4 linked regions of the Drosophila melanogaster genome follow. The protein of the gene in region 1 interacts with the protein of each later gene in a pairwise test. Each region holds a gene or a part of one and is shown on either strand. Other genes may lie near its edges. The genes, in order: p38b, CG33080, Prosbeta1 and Mlc1.

What was found.
Region 2: the proteins of p38b (region 1) and CG33080 interact in a two-hybrid assay, tested with the Drosophila melanogaster proteins (one large-scale study listed by BioGRID).
Region 3: the proteins of p38b (region 1) and Prosbeta1 interact in a two-hybrid assay, tested with the Drosophila melanogaster proteins (one large-scale study listed by BioGRID).
Region 4: the proteins of p38b (region 1) and Mlc1 interact in a two-hybrid assay, tested with the Drosophila melanogaster proteins (one large-scale study listed by BioGRID).

The regions. Positions count from the first base shown.
Region 1 is NT_033779.5:13,778,270-13,783,413, reverse strand, and holds p38b (p38b MAP kinase), read right to left. Parts: upstream 2,726-5,144; 5' UTR 2,650-2,725; intron 2,548-2,649; 5' UTR 2,415-2,547; coding exon 1,317-2,414; 3' UTR 805-1,316; downstream 1-804. Other genes in the region: CG16890 (uncharacterized protein), read left to right, coding at 1-417, 469-804; CG9008 (uncharacterized protein), read left to right, coding at 3,682-3,769.
Region 2 is NC_004354.4:5,714,006-5,719,814, forward strand, and holds the start of CG33080 (uncharacterized protein), read right to left. Parts: upstream 3,774-5,809; 5' UTR 3,710-3,773; coding exon 3,341-3,709; intron 1,468-3,340; exon of another isoform or gene 1,267-1,467; coding exon of another isoform or gene 1,141-1,266; intron 808-1,140; coding exon 647-807; intron 1-646.
Region 3 is NT_033778.4:16,012,661-16,017,026, reverse strand, and holds Prosbeta1 (proteasome beta1 subunit), read left to right. Parts: upstream 1-2,239; 5' UTR 2,240-2,330; coding exon 2,331-2,375; intron 2,376-2,438; coding exon 2,439-2,913; intron 2,914-2,981; coding exon 2,982-3,136; 3' UTR 3,137-3,222; downstream 3,223-4,366. Other genes in the region: EMC7 (ER membrane protein complex subunit 7), read left to right, coding at 1-294, 356-502, 568-696, 763-888; Rrp42, read right to left, coding at 997-1,467, 1,522-1,687, 1,739-1,935, 1,993-2,049; CG8389 (uncharacterized protein), read right to left, coding at 3,491-4,354.
Region 4 is NT_033777.3:27,655,843-27,662,356, forward strand, and holds Mlc1 (myosin alkali light chain 1), read right to left. Parts: upstream 4,336-6,514; 5' UTR 4,271-4,335; coding exon 4,268-4,270; intron 4,115-4,267; coding exon 4,087-4,114; intron 3,080-4,086; coding exon 2,774-3,079; intron 2,714-2,773; coding exon 2,627-2,713; intron 2,272-2,626; coding exon 2,228-2,271; 3' UTR 2,225-2,227; intron 2,114-2,224; coding exon of another isoform or gene 2,070-2,113; 3' UTR 1,236-2,069; downstream 1-1,235.

The sequences.
Region 1 (5,144 bases):
GTGAATCTGAACAACCTGAGTGCCAAGGAGCGACACAACTATATACTTAGTAATTACGTGCTTAACCTACCGAATGAGACGGAATCACGTCGGCACAAGCGAGACATCGATGTAATCCGAGAGAATCACCGCTTCCTGTGGGAGGACGACGAGTTGGATAGCGACACCCTAAGCTGGGAGCAGCGCTTGGCCCTGCGATACTACAGGAAGCTATTTAAGGAGTACTGCATCGCGGACCTGTCCCGCTACAAGGAGAACAAGATAGCGCTGCGCTGGCGAACGGAGCAGGAGGTGGTCACCGGAACCGGGCAGTTCCAGTGCGGCAGCCGGCATTGCGGGGAGCGGGATAATCTGCGCAGCTGGGAGGTAAACTTTAGGTATATCGAAAAGGGTGAGCCCCTAAATGCGCTGGTCAAGGTGGGTTCCAAATGGGTTTCCGCGATTGTGTCACTAATGGGAATTCCATAGGTGCGGCTGTGTCCCACCCACACGGATCAGCTGAACTACCGCACCAAGAAGAGAGAATGCAAGAAGCGGAGACGCAGGGAAAAGGAGGAACGGCGCGCTGAAAAGAAACGTAAGCGTCGAAAACTCGATGTTGGTCACGAAAGTTCTGGCGAAGAGGAGGAGGAGCCTGTCGAACCAGCATCCGAATCCCATCCAGAAGCCAGCAAGGAGCCCACAGACTCAAAGGATGCCACCACGGCAGACGAACAGATCTGGCAACAACAACCCGATATAAGCCGAGAGCAAGCCTCCAGAGAGCAGGAATTCGAGCGATATCTAGAGGATCTCATTTTTTAAAATACATAGCACATTTATTTGGATTCAACGTAGACACTAGTGCTCTTTTTTATAGTTACTGGCCGCTAGATGCGTTCGCTTACGAACTACGATGTACATGTACACTCACATTTACAGGATTATTCACAAGAACTGCGTGTTAAAACCGACACCAAATCTAAAGTTGAACTGGACATTAAGGCTGTGACTCTGATTGATTTTTGGAAACATTTCCGAATGGCTACATTTCAGGCATGCACCTAGTTCAATCGCTATTTCTATATCCATCGAATGCAAATCGAAGGTTCGAAAATACAATACTATTTCACCTTACGTTTGTGGTCAAAACAAATTGTTGAAATCCAGCCACTGAAGAGTTTCTAAATATAAATCGCTCTAGAATAAATATCCCCGATTGTTTACACTCGACGAGTAGAGAAATCACGACTGAGCGCATCCGCTTGAACTAGGTGTAGAAAAGACTGTTCTAATTGTATATAGCATCATTGAACGGAGAGGGATGGCGGCCGGGATTACTGCTCTTTGGGCAGGAGCTCAGCGAAGGCGGCTGTGGGCTTGAAGGCCGTCACCTCGCTGAAGACCATCTCCCGCCACTTCTCCACCGGCAGCTCGTTCTCCTCGAAGCTCTGGTCGTAGAGCGCGGCGGTCTGCTCATCGGTTGGATCGTGGTACTTCTCCATGTACGGATGGGCCAGCGCCTGCTCGGCGGTTATGCGCTTGTCGGCGTCAAGTTCCAGCATCTTCTCCAGCAAATCGATGGCCAGCGGATTGGCACCGCGGAAGATGTCGCGGAAATTGCGGCGCGGCATCACCGGCAGTGAACGAATATAGTTTCTAGCGCTCTCCGAGGAGATGCGGCTCATGAACTCATCAGCTGGCGTGCCCAGCACTTCCATGATGAGGTTCAGCTGATGGATGTGATCGGTTCCAGGGAACAGCGTGCGCCCAGTCAGCAGCTCAGCCATGATGCAGCCCACCGACCAGATGTCCGCCGTCTGGTTGTAGTGCATCCAGTTGAGCATGATCTCAGGCGCCCGGTACCATCGCGTTGCGACGTATCCGGTCATCTCGCTTTCTGCGGGACGGGCCAAACCGAAATCCAGGATGCGAAGCTCACAGTCCTCGTTTACCGCAATGTTCGATGGCTTTAGATCACGATGGATGACCCCAGCGCTGTGGATGTACTTCAGACCGCGCAGGATTTGGTAGACCAGAAACTGGACATGATCATCAGACAGTTTCTGCGTGCGTATTATGTTGTTCAGATCGGCGTCCATCAAGTGGGTCACCATGTACACTTGCTGGAACTGATCCAGCGAATCGGCGGGCTGTCCTGGATGAAAGACATCCAGCAGACCAATAACGTTCTCGTGATCCATGTGCTTCAGCAGCCGCAGTTCCCGATAGGTGCGCTTCGCATGGACCGCCGACTGGAAGGGCCTGGCAAGCTTCTTGATGGCCACCTTCGTGCTGGTTCCGCGGACCACGGCCTTGCAGACCTGGCCGTAGGCACCCTGACCCACGGGTTGCAGGTTCTGGTATGTTTCCGGGATTTCCCACTCGGTGCGATTGATGTCCAGCTTGTAGAATTTGGCCATTTTGCGCGACATTTCGTTGGGATGTTCTGTACGCTCAGGTGCGGTGCTATAATGTTATTAATCCGCTGGCTCTTTTTTTGGGCAGTTCTTCTTCTTGCTTGTGGGATTAGTTATCTCTGTTCCACACTTCGCGGCCTCAACATTGCTGGAAATGAGTAATCGTACCGGGTATTACGGGAAAACGTAGCTAATTTCGGGTATTCCTGCCCAGATTCATTTGTATCTGCACAAATAAGTTGCAACTTACATCTCTCGGATTTTATTTATGCTATTCCGCTGCGCCTACACCTTTTCTGATTGGACAACAACGCTGTCTTGGCTATCGATAACCGCAAATGGGTCCGATTTCCAATCAGCTGCTGCTCGTTTATGCGTTAACATGGTTGGCTTTAGGGTGTCCCCTACAAAAATCAGAGTCCATCGAGGCAGCGGATCAATTCACAAAGCTTCTGCGCAGTTTGGTTGACAGAGTACATGATCGTCACAAACAATAATAATAATTAGATTTTTATATGCAATTTTGATTAAAGTTTTTAAGATTATATTACAATTTAAATACTTTCAATATTATTTGGAGAGTTCTATGTATGTATTCTTTATTATCACACCTTTGAGAATAAGAAATATTTAAATTAAAAATGCATTAATTAAAGCAAAAAATGAACTTATATGAAACCATAAACTCGTGAATAATGTGGTAATATCATCCACTTCAGTAAATACTTAGTTATACGTTAAAAATATAATTTTAAGGTAGAGTACTCCCTCGTCGACCATGGACATAAAGCTAATTTTAAAGCTTAACATGGGCCGGTAACAGAAGGCGGTCAGTTGGCGCAAGCTGGTTTAGTTTCAATCGGTCGCTCGTTGGCAGAACATCGAAGGTCCGGGTCGTGACGCTTTTCGCCCGAACGTTTTTTGCACGAGTTTTTTCCATACGTATTTGTTCATTGACAAAAACTCAAGCTGCGCTCTGTGCGTGCGTGTGTATGTGTGTGTGCGAGTGAGTGTGTGTGTGCTGGCGCGTCTGTGTGAGTGCGGTGCTTTGTGTGCAGAATAATTTTTGCAAACATTATGTAAATGCGCAAATTAAAGTTCAATCGACGCCCGTTTTGAGTACGAAACCAGATCGCCTTGCTTTAAGTGCCACGGAGCTACAGTTTCTTTTCGTACCCAATTTTTCAAAGATATACTCCCTCAGTAGGCAGGCACGCACACAAACATACACAGGATCTCAAACGATCCCCCGGATATACCTTTACCGTTAGGAAAATTCAAAATGGCCACGACAGCGGCCGCAATGGCCGCAACGAGTGTAGTTGTTCTGGATCGCGGAAACAATACAACCTGCACCATCAACTTGCACGGTGAGCAGAATGTCTTGAAACAATGATAAACAACAAATGAATAGCTGGCGAACAATTAATCATAATTAAGAAGACACCACCAGCACTTTGCCAAAATTTTGTTGGCGTTATTTTTAGCGGATGATTGGCGCTTAGACTCTTCCGAAACCGAAACCCGTTTCGCCCCCTATTCTCGATGTATTCGCGACCTCTGGAGGTTATCAATTCGTTCTGGAAATAACCTTGTTTTTACCTTTCGCTGTTCTACGCACCAGCCAGAGGGCCTTTGCTATCTTATCAGCCGAGATCGTCGCAATTTAGGCGCTATATGTACATATATGCCCCCACTCGATCCAATCGCTGGGGATCAGTTGGGTTTCGGTTTTGGAAAAGCTTAGAGCTTGGAGTTTGGATCTTGGAGATCGGATCGATGCGGCTCCTACTCGCAGCACATTTCGATTAGGCGTCATATATATGTATATGGTTCGTACATATATGTATACAGGTCCCTCTCTATGAGCACCTATGTACATATGTATGTATGTGAGCTGGCACTGGTGTACCCAGCGTACTTTCAACAATTACGACTGCCTGTGTCTGGGCTGCCCACGTTGCTTTCCAAGTCGCAGCCGTTTGAGCAACAGTCAGACGGCCAGAGACACAACAGCGTTTGGAACAGACAGCATATCGTACACCGGAAGAAATAACTACATATATATCTAATGGAAATTCTTGAGATCTTCATAGTTTCTTATCGGAAAGAGTTTCAGTGGCTAAGGCATTAAGGATTAAAGATCTTTACTAAATTCACTTGCAATGATTTTCTTAAAGATATTTATATGATCCCATGTATATGATTATTTTTCGTGTTCCACTTACTCTTCCTCTTCAATTAAATGGCCTGTGAAAAACTAAGATATATACTTAAACTGATGCATTGTTTTCCTTTCAGTGTATCTTATCACATGTAATTCGAACAATGTTAATTATTAGTTTTCGGAGGAGCTTTAACTAAACTCGACACCAAAGTGTTTCCAATCATAATAATCAAGGTGCCAGAGCAGTGGCTACGGCCTGTCGAAAGCCCATCGCACATTGGGGCCAACTGAGCGAGATTTTGGGGAATAGCAGCAGCTCCTCCCACGCAGCCAAGTGCTCACCCACCCATTGGCCGTAGGCCATCGTCATGCCCAGAGATCCATACCCGTAGCGTAACCAAAACCAACCCATATCCCAGTCTTTAACTGTACCAGAGATTCGGTCTCAGCCAGTTAGTTTACTTACAGGCCAGTTACTTACTCTGCGATTGTGTGCGTGCAAGTGTGCGCGTATGTGTGTGTGTTTGTATGTGTTAGCCATGTGGGTTAGAAGTGTGTGCGTCATGTACTTTGCTTTT
Region 2 (5,809 bases), on another chromosome or scaffold:
AACTGCTTTGAATTGATATAAAACCGGATAATTAATCTGGGATTAATTAAATGCCGTGTCAGCACACTCATTGCCGTAAATATTTATGAACAAATAAATCCTGAGCTGCACCGAAAGTTCTTTAATAGATACTTTTCCCAAATTATCGATATGTAACAGATATAATTGATAGTAACTATTGCAAATAGCTAAACTGTTTTTTACACCCGCCATTTGTGTGCCTATCACTTTGATAATAACTGCCATTGGTCCAACACCTTGGCGTTTCCATGTGGGTAATCATAGGAATTCGCAGTGTCGAGGCGGGGGAAAAGTCAAATGAAAATCGCTGCGGAATTAGCATGGAAGTGGGCAGTAGTTGCAACCGATACTCGGAATGGGCGGTAGGTCGGGAGGAATGTGGGGAAAGGCACGTTCCACTGGCAGTGCCGACGCCACAATTGAATTACTGTCGTTCGGAGACAAAAGGCAGCGACTTTCGATTAATTAATCTAATTGCCCGATGAATCAAATGGGCAAAAGTGCCCAACGACAGCGTGGGTCATAATTGAAAGTAGCTCCAATTATTTAAATACAAGAACCGCATATATGAAATTTACTTAGTTAGTTATCGGTGGTAGTGGTAGTAGTTGATCTAATCACTCACCGATGAACTGGTCTTCTGGCGTTCCCGAACTCGTCATCGCTGTCATCGTTGGCGAAATTGATGGCCTTATCCGGCGTATTGGCCGTTGTCGTCGGCGCCGTAGTGCCCGGCGTATCCGGAGTGGCCGGTGTGCCCAGGCTGGAGGTCGCATCGTCGGCTATCTGAAAAATTAGAATTTATATAGTCAAACAGATAGATTTCCTTTTTTGCTACACTACACAGATAGCTGGATTGATAGAGCAAACAGCAAGCGATTGTAACTGAAAAGTATGGCATTTTGGTTGGGCTATACCATACCATACCATTCATATACATATGGGTTCTGGGCTTTTGACACCTGCACTTGGGCAAGGTGAGTGCAATTAGCACAGAGGCGTTACCGCAGAGAATACCCAGTCAAGGTGTCTCCCGTACAATATAACGGCAAGCCCGGAAAAAATGGCATCGAATCGAATGGAGTACGTCATAAGCTACAAGCCACACTTAGTACCTGCCTTATCCTTATCCATAGCCGCACTGATATCGAGCACAACGGCGTTGTGTCTAACATTCGGTGCTGGGTGTTGCTGATCCTCGATGGGAACGCTCGAGAGGATGAATCGGCTGTTGGATGAGCTCATTGTGGACACTCAACGATTATACCGTGCAATACTTATGTTATCACAGCACTAAATTGTGGGTTTTCAATCAAACACTTCACTGAGTCACAGAATAGGTAAAACAAAAACAAATTGTTTATATTTAATTAGGATAGTCGTTGTTCTATTAGTTTGCTGTTAACTTTGATTGACCTAGTTCGCATCGCCGATATTTTCGAGTTGCCAAATAATTATAACCGATCCGAACGACGTTAGTGCCGCGATCGCACTGTTAACCGTTGATAATTGCTGGTTCGCTATTGCCTGAATATTGTTTTTGAAGCCTCAATTTATGCGTTTTAATCGCTTCGCTCTCGCAGCCTCTGCCGCAGTCGGCGTCGGCAGCGCTACGTTGAGTGAAAATATCGACACCCACACTCAGAACAATCATGAGCTAGTTGAGTCGGCTCGAAAGAGTGCGGAATTTGATTTTGATAGAATAATCCGGTAGTCGTAAATTAATTGCGGCTACCCTGATTGGCGACGTACTGCGGTCTTGGTATATTAGCCGTACTTCATGACGAATGGCCATAAATATGAATGCACTGCAAGTAATTTGAACAAACTGAATGCTAAATATTCCAATTTAAAATGAGCTTCGTTCCAAAATCAAATGTTATTTGAATAGCTTGAAATGAAACAGAGAGAATCTGTCTAATTAAATCGTCGTGGTGTGACATTTATGTCACCCTTTCAATATTTCTGTTCATTCCACATTTTCTCACCTCTCTTCGAAAATTTATATTTTGCCTGCCATCAAAGAAGTTGCGTTTCGCATTGCATACTTTTGGGCATATTGCTCACACTGACCACACTGCGTATGTGTTATATTCTCGCTATGTGACAGTTGATTGCTTGGTCACATCACACATACGCCTCGTTGGCCTGGCCACGCCCCCTCCGTCCGCCCGTCGGCTTGTTTGCAGCTCTATAATTAGCGCACGGCATTCGTCGCTACTTCCCGACACCAGTAATGAGTTTGAGTGTTTAACACATCGAAAATAATAGACAAAAATCTCCCACGGAAAAATATCGTATGCGCTAATAATTCAGATATTCTAGTTTGGAATTCACAGGGTTCGGAATAATGTAAATATTTGTGCGAAAGATCGGCAATCAATCATATTTTTTTTGCTTCGCGCTTACATGCGTCTTTGTTGAAATGAAAAAATACAAATAAAAAACATATACTTATATAATAAGTTTAAAGATTGAGTGGTTGCCTCAAACGGCAACTCGTTTTAATTTGTACCAAATTAAAGTGTTTTTAAATGATAATATTCTTGTTAGCATAAATGTTTATGCAAATGTCGAAAGCTATGAGTTCGTATTTGGAGCACGATGCATATATTAATGGGCATTTAATGTGATATACTAATATATTGAATGGACACTTTAGAAATATATTTTGTTTTTGGATTAGTGAATGTGCTAAATTAATGGTGCCCATTTGTACCGTAGGACCATCATGTGACTATTAACTGGATTTCGGGTTTTTGGTCACATGTTTATTGTTTGCCAACTTCATATAATTAAGGCACAATTAACGTTTGTATCTTTTTTTTTTTTGGGTAACTTTTCTGTAAATCGACGAGATTCGCCGAGCGCGAGGAAACAGACTAGAGGCGATGACGCCTCGCTTAATTACGCATTGTATTTTAATTTCGAATGGGGCTTAACTGCTCAACTGGTTTGCTGCAATTATATATTTCAAAAAAAGAAAAAAAAAATGGCAAAACGGCACTCTAAATACCCTCTAAAGGTAGCTCCTTTCCAAAGATTATGTACTTTACGAATGAATTAAACCTTTAATTTGTTTAATGTTTTATGTACATTTTCCACTTAAAATAGTTTTGTTTTAAAGCAACTGAGCGACCGAAGCGACTTGTCTTTCGAGGAATTTCTATGGATATAAACTGGGTCGTAAACTAATCTTTTTATGTACCTCCTACGCCAGATTCTTCATTTTACATTGGTACAAAATATTCACTGATGAATTCAATGCTGAATGCTAGATTTTTCTGATGAATTCAAATGAAAAGCGTGCAGTACTTACAATCTCCTCGTGCAGCGCATCTTGCGGCTGCATCTGATGTCGCAGACGCAGTGCCTCCAGATCCAGGGCATTAATGCCCGAGGGCATGGATATCGAATTGCGTCGGAGTCCCGGTGCAAAGGCCTCCGGCGACGGCGTCGCCGACTCCGGCTCCTTTTCGTTGACCATCTTCAAATGCGGTAGATCCACATTGCGTCGCTCGCTGAGAGATTGCTTCCTGGGCATGGCACCCAGTAGCTGGAGCTGCTCCTGCTCCTGCCCATGCTCCTCCAGTCGCTCATCTCCGTCCGTGTCCGCATCCGCGAAGGCCAACTCCGGATGCTGGCCGTTGAGCGCCTGCGCGGCTCCCGATTGCGATGGTTGAGCCATTTCACCGGCCGCTTCTCAGTTCCAGCGGCTGCGTTCCAAACGCGATCGCGTTCCACTGGCGAATGAAAAAAAGGGTTGAGCGCGGCAACCGGAACCCGAAATCGCCGGCGGAGCGAAAGAGAGCGCTGGGCGGCCGGACAGAGGGAGACGGGCAGTGAGCGGGCGGCTTCGATTGCCATCGCTGTTTGCCTTTAATCAGCGCTTATCATCGGTCGGCGATAATCGCACACACCGATCGAAAAAAAAAAAATGCTCAATCACAGTTGCACATACATATATATTATGGCTAAATTAATCAGTTAACAGTGTAAATGAAAAATATAGATATCAAAAACTTAAATCATCATGCTGAGCCCCAAATAATTGTGCTAGAATTTCGGTTTTTGAAATTCAAATCTTTCAGTGTATTTGTGATCCGGGTGCGCTGGTTACGCAGATATTGCTAATACGCCCCGTATACCGAACGTTAAAAGCTATTTGAACTCTGCGACTGTTGCCCCACTGAATGAGTTAATTAAGTTCGTTTTCTAGCCATAAGCCCACTTCGTGGATCGCATTTGTTTGCCTGGCTAATTAGGCGTAATCTCGCACCGACTCCCTTCTCGTCGCTCTCCGCAAAATTCTCGACCTTGTTTTAAAGCACCAAGTGTACACGAATAAAAAGTCAAACAAAATTTAATCAACTGGCAAAGTCAAGAGCCAAACTCGTTCGCCCGCCGATCCGATCATTTCGATCGAGCAGCGCCTTTCAATAATTACATGTGTTACCTGATAAGGTAAACCAAACCAACGCAGCCACCCACATCCAAACCCAAACCCAACCCCCCCATGGGCAAACTTCTCTCACCAAGTGCTCCGCAAATTGATAATCTAACGGTGCGGAATGCCACAACTAATTCGCAATATTGTTTAACAAATTGCACTCATAAATTGTCTAGAGTGCGCAAATATTTGACGATTGAACTATATTTATGATCATTGCCACGGGAAAGGGTAGAAGTGTGGATGGTACGGGTGTATCTAGATAAGGTAACCGCTTCTGGTTAAATATATAAATATCTCAATTTATATGTAATTTTAGTAATTAAATTGAAATAATTAGATTAATAATTACTCGATATATACATATTTTGTGTGGCCACCATAGCTTGTGGTCACTGTACCGCAGACGCAGCGTATGGAGGCAATCGGACTGAATCACATATTAGAGACGGTAATAAACCGATTTAGTGAAACACAAAAAAAACAGGCATAACCAAATTTACAGCTTCTGATAAACCCAGTACAGTGGGACTAATTGCTGAAATGTATTCAAAACTAAACAAATAACCTGTTGCGATGGCGATTCAATAGACACCTCGTTTGAGAATTAATAAACCCAGATGGCAGGTAAAACAAAATTATCATGCAATTCGCGATTCAAAGTCACCGCCAAAGTTGGTCAACTCTCGAATTATGTGTGAGTAATTTCAATAAGCCAATAAGTACGACTATTTTTGCCATGGCTATCCGATGACTACACTCAATTTGAAGTCTGCCAAAAAAGATACAACTATGTAATACAAACCACTAAATAAGAGAATATCTTAAGATCTTCCACATAATTCGATTCAAAACCACCGCATTCGCACAAGAAATGATTTGAGTAATTTTGAAAAGGGGAAAAATGCAATTTGCTTTTATTATGCTTGTTTTCGATAAATTTGTTAAATTTGTTCATTTAGTTTAGTTGTACACTTAAACGTTTTGATGAATCTTCCAGTTCACATACGCATTTATTTATTTTCAATTTTTCATCTAGCTTATGTTCGCCGAGCTGTGTTGTTGTCGTATTAAATGTGTTTAGAAAACATTGATAATTTATCGTTCTATCGTACTTATTATGGAATGCATCTTCTTGTTAGCGTATATACTTTGCTCGATATATGTGGCTTCTATTTGAGACGCCCAACACTTTTGTTTGCTCAACAGCCACGAGACACAGAAAGTATAATCAAATAAACAACGAGAGAGCGTTTTTAGTTGCATAGTATTATTAATTATTATATGGAATACACACAAATCTAAACTAAGCGCTTGCTACATGTAAATGGCCAAAAA
Region 3 (4,366 bases), on another chromosome or scaffold:
GTCAGCTGCGAGGTTATCATTGGCCAGGACGAACTGGTGGACGAGGTGTCTGGCCTGTACACCATCGAAGGACGCGTTTCCCCGCCGGATTCCATTTTTTCACCCACTCAAGGAGGCGGACGAAGTGCTCCGGTGAACAAGAATACACCGAAGTGGCACACAGAGATTACGCTCTCCATCAACGACGGCGAATTTAAGGGATTCGTCCGCGAGGATGGGCAGTTCATGATCAGCGGAGTGCCATCCGGCAGCTATATCCTGGATGTCCACCACCCGGATGTTTTCTATGAGCCGGTCAGTTAAGGGAATCCATTCAATATGATGCCAGAATCACTAAAAATTTCTTCAATTGCAGGTGCGCGTCGAGATCAATCCCAAGGGCAAGTTCCGCGCCCGCAAAGTGAACTTTGTGCAGCCCGCCCAAATTATGCAGGTGGCATATCCCCTGCGCGTGAAGCCACTGATGCCCTTTAAATACTTCCAGACCAGAGAGCAGTGGAAGGTGCATCATTATATTGCCACCAACGGAAGAATCACAAAACTAACTTTTGCTCTTGACCCACACAGATCACCGACTTCTTGTTCAGCCCCATGGTCCTAATGATGGTCTTGCCTCTGCTCCTTATGCTGGTGCTGCCCAAGATGATCAACGATCCCGAGACAAAGAAGGAGATCGACAATCTGCAGTTCCCAAAGGTAAGCCGTGAGGATCATGTATAGCACAGCACTATAGTATTATATGAATCATGCTCTGCTCCACAGATGGGCAACGATATGCCCGAGATCAGCGAAATGCTGACTTCACTGCTAACGGGCAAGCAGCCCGAGCCCAAGGAGAAGAAGCCTGCTCCGGCCGTCAGGCAGGCGAAGAAGCGCAAGGACCAGTAGTAGTTGGCCACCAGATAGCTTTTAGTATTAAGCTTAATCGGAGCGCCGAGCTCCAAGTCAGAGTCAGATCGTTTAAATAGTAAATTTTCATTACAAGACTTTGCCGCTTTATTTAAGAAATCCTACTATTTGCGGTCGCTTGAGTCCGACGCGCTGCTGCTCCAGATTTAGCATTTTAGTGAGCAGCCGGTCCAGATGCTCGCCAATGGCCAGACCCAGCTCCAGACAGTTGCGCATGGTGTCCCGGTGCATGGCTCCGCCGCCGGTCAAGTGTGTACCCGAAAGGAATGCCTGTCCATTCCGCATGGAAACTGACACAACCATGCTCACTGTGCTGCAGACTTCCTCCTCCGCCGAAGGATCCACCAGGACATAATCACCGATCTTGCAAACTGTGACCAACAGCGGAACCGTCTCGATGCCGATGCGGGTGCAGTCATACGGATTGTCCGATATGATGAGGTCTGTGATGCCGGCATCCAACATGGTGGCTGTCACCCGGGGCAGCTTTGTGTTGAACAGAGCCGCTTTGGCGGCCAGCGACACTGCGTCGTGTAGATTGCCGCCACACTCCAGAATCTGCGAGAACAGGGATTAGCATTTTCGGTATAATTAAGCACACTAGAGTCTAACCAGGATGTCTATGTACAGCTTCCAGCACTGCTGACCCGGAATGAGGCACAACGTGCGGTAGTTGAAGGCCAATGGCGATTCGTAGGCGTTCTGCAGGGAGAGAATAAGTTCTTGGGCCAGATCCGAGCCCCCGCGTCCTTCAAACTCCGGCGTGGCATTAGCAGAGCTGAAATATATATGTTATGGCATATTCTTCGAACTTCAGTTGCATCATTACCAATCCACAAAAAATTCCAGTTTACCAAACTCGGGCGTCAGCGGGTTGGGTACATCAATCTCGGTTTTGACGCCCACCAGTATGTCTGTGTTCGCCAGCCGAAGGCGAGCGGATCCACTGGCATTGCTAACCAGTCCAGTTTCCAGGTCCATGGGCCGGTAATCTCGTCGTGAACGTCCATCGCAACGAAAGTCATCCTGGAAACGCATAGTTTAAGGTACAGACTATATTTCTTGCATAACCGTTTAACACACCTCCACGCCGTGTAGAATATATGTTTTTTCAGCTTCGCTCAGTGCAACGTATGCCATTTTAGACTTAATTCAAGAAAACAAATATTCAAAACAAATTCAACATGTGCAATGAACCCACATCGATACTATCGATATACCGCAAAGCAGGGCTGCTGGCACTTCGTTTTTACTTTACTGAACTGTTGTCAGTGCGAAAGGTGTATGTTTTCATTTGAAGCATTTCATTTCACATCGCCATCTGGTAACACTTATCCAAAACAAGCCAGTCATTTCGTGTTCGTGCGGCGTTTCAACAAATATCAATTGTAAATTGAATTGTAACAAATTTAAAGATCAATATGCAGCCCGACTTTGATTTCACCGACACACCGGTCAGCACTGGTGTAAGTATGAAGAGCATCAGCCACATAACTTCGTACTAAGAGCACAATCCTACCTATTTGCAGACCACCATTATGGCAGTGGAGTTCGATGGCGGAGTGGTCATTGGAGCCGATTCGCGCACCAGCTCGGGCGCCTATGTTGCCAATCGGGTCACCGACAAGCTGACCCGCATCACGGACAAAGTGTACTGCTGCCGCAGTGGCTCGGCCGCCGACACCCAGGCCATTGCCGACATTGTGGCCTACTCGCTGAACTATCACGAGAATCAGACCAACAAGGATGCTCTGGTGTTCGAGGCCGCCTCAGAGTTCCGTAATTACTGCTACAGCTACCGCGAGTCCCTGCTTGCCGGCATCATTGTGGCTGGGTGGGATGAGCAGCGCGGCGGCCAGGTGTACAGCATCCCGTTGGGCGGCATGCTGACCCGCGAGTCCTGCACCATCGGCGGATCGGGATCTAGTTTTATCTACGGATTTGTTAGGGAGCACTACCGCCCCAATATGGCGCTGGAGGATTGCGTTACATTCGTCAAGAAGGGTAGGTAATCCCAAAAAAACCAAAACAGTTTCCCTTCAATCGAATCCCATTTAAACCTCCTCCAACAGCTGTCCAGCACGCTATCTACCACGATGGCAGCTCCGGTGGTGTGGTGCGCATTGGCATCATCACCAAGGATGGCATCGAGCGACGCATCTTCTACAACACAGAATCGGGCGCATCGGCTGTTTCCAGCACTCCCAGCTTCATTTCCTCGGAATAAATAGTATACCTACCCAAGTAAGATCGATCAGAGAAAGAGTTGCAAACTCGTCTCATGCTAATAAACCTGGTTTTTGTAATATGCATACTTTAATTTGTATTTTGGCTCTTATGGCAGTACAAAAGTTAGGTCTAGGGGCTAAAATGGTAATAAATAATCGAAAACCTAAACCTAAGATGCATAGTCATACAGATAGTGCTGTTCCTGACACTGGTCCTTCCTCACAACTCAGATAACTACTGCGGCGAGAGTGGAATGTTCCCTACGGGGAAGTCATTTCATCGCCTATCACATGACAGTCAATACCGATATCCTTCGCTTAAACTCTTATCCAGTCAGGTAGTGACCAGAGATTTAGGAGTTGAGTTTGGCCACTTCAGCTGCGTCTATAGACTGCGTCTCCATGGACTTGTTGGTGGCACATCGCTGCCTGCGGTGGCGGTACAATATCTCCGGTGTCCAAACAAGAACCACCACCAGCAGAATGACTCCTTGAGCATAAAGGCAGATTAGGTAGGAGTCGGCGTAGTCTCGCACCCATCCCAGCAGCTGGCCCACTGTGATAACAATAACGCCCTTGGACATCATGCTCAGACCCAGACCGCCGGCCAGTTTTTCCGAGCGGCAATGCGCCGATATGGTGAGATTGTTGTTGATTACAGTGGCTGATTTCATCATGCCTGTCAACACAGACATGGTGATGATCACGGGCAGCGTTTGATTCTCGGCAAGCACACAGCGAGCGACAAAGAGTCCAACAATGCCGATCAGGAACACTACGCGATAGGGTATTCTAAGGTGATCTGTGACGATGGGCAGCAGCAAACGGAACACAATGTCGGCGCCAGCCACAAGGGACATGCAGAAGGCCACCATTTGGCTGTTAAGTTGTGCCGTTTGTCCAAGAAAACCAGGAAAGATCATCGTGAAGTTTATGGTGGCCGTATAGACTAGAGCCATGCCCACAATGATGCTCCAGAATACTAAATCTTTGAGCAGCTCCAGATCCATTGCCTGTACCAACCGCTGTCCCATTCGGCTGCACAGAGTATCCACATTTGGCGGGCTACGCTCGATCTTGCTTTGATTAGTCGGAACAATCACCACCTGAAGGGGACTAGTCTTTTCCCCATCGGCCTCGGTCAGGAGTCGAATGTGTTTGCGGTTGTTGTGCTTGGCAGGTGGGTTTAGTGGTTTCAAGAAGGCAGCACCAAAAAGCTGTAAGGTACT
Region 4 (6,514 bases), on another chromosome or scaffold:
ATTTGCATAATGTGGCGGGCATGACGTGAGTCTTATGGCCTGCATGCTCGCCTGACATAACCATCAATGTCCTGGGGTGTGCCGGCAATATAATTTGCCTAATTGAGCCATAGCCATCGCTATCACCGCTGCAACTGGGCTACGGAGGCGTGCCTTGAACTTTCCTAATTGATTTTCTAAAGCACACGCGGCGTATGCGTAATGCGCTGTGAAGTCACTTTTACTTACTAAATTCAGGTAAATACCACATAACTGCACACATAGCAAGGTAGTTATATGTTTTGACACTTAACTAATAATAATTTCTATATATATGGTTTAATCTGAACCATTTCTTTTCTGTGTATCTTGCAACGCCCTCACCTTTTTGATCCTGATTAGCCCTCGCATTTGCTGGCTTCTGTTGCAGTTGCTGTTGTTGCGGCTGCTGCTGCTGCAGCTGATGGGGTGGTGGTTGTTGCTGCTGCGGTGGTGCTGGTGGTGCGGCATTTGCTGCTGCTGCTGCTGCTGCTTCCTGTTGCAGCTGCTGGTGGGGCAGCGGTGGGTGGGGGTCGCCTAGTGGTGGCACAGCATCCAGCAGTGAGCTTTTCTCCAGGACATCCGCCATATTGAAAGTCGAACGAGTGTGTGTGTGGTGTGTCTGTATTTGTTGCACTCACGGGAAAACTCGAAAAGGACTACAGATCTGTCGGTATTTTTCCTGTGTGTGTGTGTGTGTATCTTTGGGCTAGTCCTTTTCACTTGGAATAATATATTTTGGGTTCACTTTCGATTCGAGAAATGCTCGCGGAAATATATTTTGAAACGGCGTAAATGACAATATTTATATTTTGACTTGGCGCACTCACGCTCACTTACTTCACTGGCACTCTGCTAATTTATTTGGATTTTTGCTGGTGCAAATTTTTAAAAAAAGCGAGACAGCTCCCGCTCGGTCGGCTTGTCGGTTTGTTATCTCGATTTCAACTGATTCGTAGTCGTCGTATTTAACCGAAACTTTTCTGACACTTTTTTGATTCGACGTCGACGCAAAAGCTCAGCGGAATCTCAACCCCCAAGCTATTTTTGTGATTAGTTTATAATTGTTATTGTTGACTAGACGAGGAAGGTAGATACCAGGATGCGGGTATTTCCACCCCTTCTTACACTTACTATTTTAATATAATAAATAAATAATAATTACGAAAGTAGAGACAAAAACCATATTAACCAAGCTCTAAGCTTAACAAACATTTCGAAAGCTCTCTCTCGTTGAGAAAAAGCGAAAACGACATTTTAGTACACGGTATTTTAGTCTTTCGCCTGCTTCTCGTTGGTGGTTTGTGTCTCAGCTGAAGTATTGCAGTCTGCGGCGAAAATATCTAGATATTTCTTTGTGGATTCAGTATAAGATTTTTAAACTTTCTCTATTACTTTTAGTTTATTAAACAAGTCAGCCACATCTTGTATTAATATTGGCTGCCTATATAGCATAATCCCAAATTTTCCACCACCCTGATCTTCTTTTATATTGATTGTGCAACACCTCATCGGCCGCACAATTATTCTTAGTGTTTATTTAAATACATTTGACTTATTTCACTTTCACACATTCACTTGGTAAATTGAGAACGCAAAAAGGCCACAATTTACACATTTGGCGTTTTGCTAACTGCCCTTTTTGGACGCTTTCGGATGTTGAATTTGCCTAAACATTATATTATTTGCTATTTGGTTTATTCACGTCTCATATAAAATAATCATTAACTATTGCTTTGCTTTTGGCTGAACCAACAAAATAATTCATAACAAAATAATGTGCACAAAACTTTGAATATTTTTCAGTTTTTTTGTTTTCGTTATTTTATAATTTAAATTTTTTTATTTTTTAAAAAATAATATTATCTTGAAGTTCAATTTTGCAGTTGTAGTAGCAGAAGTAATTTTTAATTAAAATAATATACGAGAGAGATAGAGAGAGTTAGCGATGAATATAACATCTATGGAGAATGGTTGTCGCTAAAAGTTTGTTGGTGTTGTTGTTGTTGTTGTTGTTGTTTGTTGGTTGTTGTTGAAGCTGTTGTTTTCAACTATTTTAGCTGATCTGGTCTGTCACACATTCTGGCGAGGAATGCTGTGGAGTAGACGAAGAAAAGGGCCATATTAGCAAGGTATTCCCCAAATTTGTTGGACAAGTAGACATCCAGAGATCGGCGAAGTGGCCATGGGCTCCATCCCTACTTACTGTTTAGTCGAAGACGACAGGATCGCTCATCAGGCGCTGGACGAACTCTGTTTTCATTCAATTTCAAGTGGATCGGCGACAAACGGCGGGTAAACAAGACGCAATCACCGTGCAGAGACCATACGTTTGACATTCGGGAGTTGGTCGGTTTTTTTTTTTTTTTGCGAGTGTAGTGTTGGAGGAATGGACACGCAAACATGGATACACGCATACACATATTTTTAGGTTTGTTGGTGTTTTTCAGGTCGAGTTGGTGGTACAAAGTGCACAGTGCAGAATGGTGGGGATTTTTTTGGTTTGTGCGCAGACAAAGAGTGACATGTGGAATAGACAAACGGCGTTTACAAATCGTATATGCACAAAAAACATTAGATGAGTATCGTCCATTGAACGAATACTTACGAGAGTAGGGGATAAATCCTTCATCATCCTCGGGATCCATGCAGTCAGCGAACAGGGTCTCCACCTGCTCGTCATCCAAGCTCTCACCTGTAATGCACACAATGATTTAGAGGGATATCCCAGGATATATGCATGTTGATTACTCACCAAGCGCCAGCAGGGCGTGCTGCAGCTCAGCCAGCAGCATGGTGCCGTTCTCCTCCTTGTCGTAGAGCTTCAAGCACTCAATGAAGTCCTCGTAGCAGCCCTGCTCCTTCTCCTTCTTGACCTGTGAGTAGATGGGCAGGAACTCATCCAGCTTGATCTTCTTCTCGTTGCGCTTCTTGGTGCCGCCCAATTTCTCGATCAGCGCCAAGGTGGGGTTCAAGTTCAGAGCGCGGAGGGCATCACCTAGGTCGACGGCATCAATGCCCTCACCGGGGGAGCCCATGACTTCGAAAACGAATTCGACATCTGCGCAAAAGGAACTCGATTAGCATTTACATCTTCATGTTCATGTTAGTCGATCAAACGTAAATCCCATCAAATTTTTGTTTTTATTCGTTTCATTTTATTATGCTGCCTCATTAATTGTTTTTAAAAATACTTTAGCAGAGGTGGGTGTTGACCACCCTTTTTATTTTCGAAAACGGGGTCGATGTGGTAACCCTGAAATTTCTGGTACGCACATTTTTGGTCATCATGAAAATCTTGACATGGCTGCTGGGCATTGCCTACTTAGTGTGTGAGTGTATGCGTGAGTGCGGATCTGGGAGAGTTGCCAGCCCCGAGAACACACTACGTATACGTAATCCGACACCCGAACCGAACGCCTTCGCCCTCGTCTGCGCTATATACACAGTATATAGGCGTATATACACACACAAAGTCGCATAGTTTGCTCATCTCTTTCGCTGTGCGTTTGATCGAAAATAAATCTAAAGAAATAACTTGGCCAAAATTAGATCTCTAAACGAGAAGCATTTCGGCTCGAAGACGAGGATCGCGCGTTCGGGTTCGCGACATATACACACACGATTTTCATTGTTTTCCGCGGCTTTTCTATAACGCAAATCAAACTTAACTTTGCACTAGATTTTCTCTACCGGAATTGTGTTGGCAACCTTTATCCGTTCTGGTTTTGGATGGTCGATCGATGAAAATAGCTCAGGCGATGCATATAGACGACAGCATTCCTTAATGAAAATTTTCCGCATAGTGTTATATATATAGGCATGCGTATATGTATGCGATATATTCCAAGTGATTACGAAATATGTTCACCGACTTTTGTGTACTTTTTGTTGTGTATCTCACACGCGCACATTATGTAATCTGTATTTTTATGGATATTATAATACTTGTTTTTAGTCCTTTCTGCTGGGTTTTCCGTTACCTCGTTCATTTAATATGTTGGTTTAACTTTGATGGATTTCGTTTGAGGTTAAAGATAATCCTTTTCGTGCGGGGTTTTAACTTACTTTCAACTTCACGCTTTGGAACATCAGCCTGTCAACGGAATCGAAAAAGATTTGAGAGTTTGGCATTAGTTCGAGTGTGGAAAATCTTCAGTTTTCAGCTGCTGCATATATTTATGTACATCTATATCACTGGATATTGGTGGAAGATGTGTGAAGACTCCTTGGCCGACTGGGCACTCACCATTTTGTCTGTTTGATGCGAAAATCAACTGTATCGCGGATGAGCTCGGTCTCGACTGAACGTTATTCGTCAGTGGCAGTACGGCAAGGTAATTCTGAGGTGAAAGCCAACCAGCCGATCGCCGAGCACTCAGACACAGATACAGATACATTTACAGCTATAGCTTCGAAAACGAATTCAAAAACGAATACGAATACGAATGGATGACGAAACGCTCGCTCTTTTCCTGCGCAAGGCTATACACACACCAAAATATATGCTGTAGTATGTGCGATGGCAAGAATTTACTTTCATCTTGGGGGAACTTTTTCGAATGCCACTCTCTTTTGGGATCCCATGGATCCCAACGACCACCAGATATTGGGAGGCTCTCCTATGGAGCCAGAGCCATTTGTTGTCCGCTCTCTAGCCGGGCTATTTTTAAGCATTTTGTTTTTTTTCGGCTATTCTGTGAATATTTCTTTTTATTTCGTTCGTGAAGGCAAAATAATAATCGCTTGTGGCATTCCCAGCCGGATAGTGTTGAATATCATTCGATGTTACAGATGATTTTGCAGATAATATAATATTTTCTCATTCAGGCGGGAGGAGAATGGGTTTGAGAATTGATTGTTTAGCGCTGCGCAATAGATTGAGCTTCCATGCTGGGGTTTTACGGGGTATGTTTAGATGTTTAGATGGGGCTATGGGGCTATGTACTATAAATGTGGCCTATACATGTATATATTTATACACTCATCGACCCTGATCGTCTTTTTGGCAAACGTACGTATTTCTCAGGTCTTGCCTGTTATCATTCGAAATGTTTTGTCAGCCGGTCGTATGTGGGGGTGTTAAATGGCCGATTTCTTGTTTGTCCGCTGCCAGAACACCTGAACACCAGCCTTTTTCAATATTTATACACTATACATGCTCCAAAAGCATACTATTCCTCGTTGGCATCTCATCTACATAGAAGGCGCATTACTGGCCCCTCAGGCGCCTTCTTGTGCCTTGTGTGTGCCGCCTGTACAACATTTTAATGCGTGCTATTTATAAAAACTATGACACAGATACATGAAGCGTATTCAGAGCAAAAATGTACAGCAACAACTAAATGCTCGAATTGTTTGCATAGGCAAATGGTGGGTGGTAGGTATATAATGACCGATCAAGCCTGAAGGGTAAGCGAGGTGCTTAAAAGGCGGCAAATCTGGCAAGGAAGTGGCAATTAAGCCAAGCAGGCCATTGGCTTTGCCGGCACATCCATTTCCATGCACCCATGTCCTTGACTTTCTATGTAAATGTAGATGTACACACGTCCATGTTCGTGCCATCGGACAGGTCCTTCTTTGACCCAGTTTTGAGCCCAGCTGTGTGCCCAACTTCCGGCTGATGCTCATCAGACCCACTCTCTGGGCTGTCCTGTCTCGTCCTATCTCTCAATCCATTGAGTCCTCGGCTCGGCTTTTGGCCGCGCAGCCTCCCTGGCCTTGTTATTGTTTACTCCTTGGGGCACCACCTGTTGTCAAGCGGGTAACTGGTGCATGAGTATTTAGGCCGATTTGGTCCTTGATTGAACATCTGCTATCAGCAGCCGATTGTTGCCACGAATCTGCGCAGATTAATGTGCGCAAGTCATTGATAAATAGCCCCTTGAGACTGAAATTGTGTGCTTGTATTTATAGAACTCATTTCTGTAAACAACATTTACACTAAGGGCTTTTTGTGCTGGTAATCAAGTTATTTAAAATATATCTCAAATGCTTATCTTAAAATAAGATACAGAAAGAACTTGGCAAGAACTTAGCAAGGATAAAGCGTGCTTAATCAGCTAGAAGATTAATTAATGAACAAAGGCTATGGATTTAATTTCCACTCAAGTCCGAAAGGGACAGTGACTTATTTTTGGCCATTACTACTTTAATACTACACTATTTATTCGCAGTCGCAGTCCCAAAGACTCGTAGACAAAGGAGTACTAATGGCCACCCCACGGCGTATACGCAATGCCCATCCTCAGGCATTTGTTATCATTGATAAGTGTGCTTCGCAAACAGGGTGTCCCGATGGGAGAGTGTGTTATGGCATGCCATAACAAGTGCAAGGACACCCCTTACACGGAGAGCAGCCTTTTTTCCCGTCCATTCAGTGCGTATACTTAATACTGAGTGCGGGTGGTTGTACGACTCTCTGCGTTTGTGTGTGTTTCTCGGCAAAATATCCTGTATACGCACTGCTGGCCTGCTGCTGTCGGCATTGGAAACG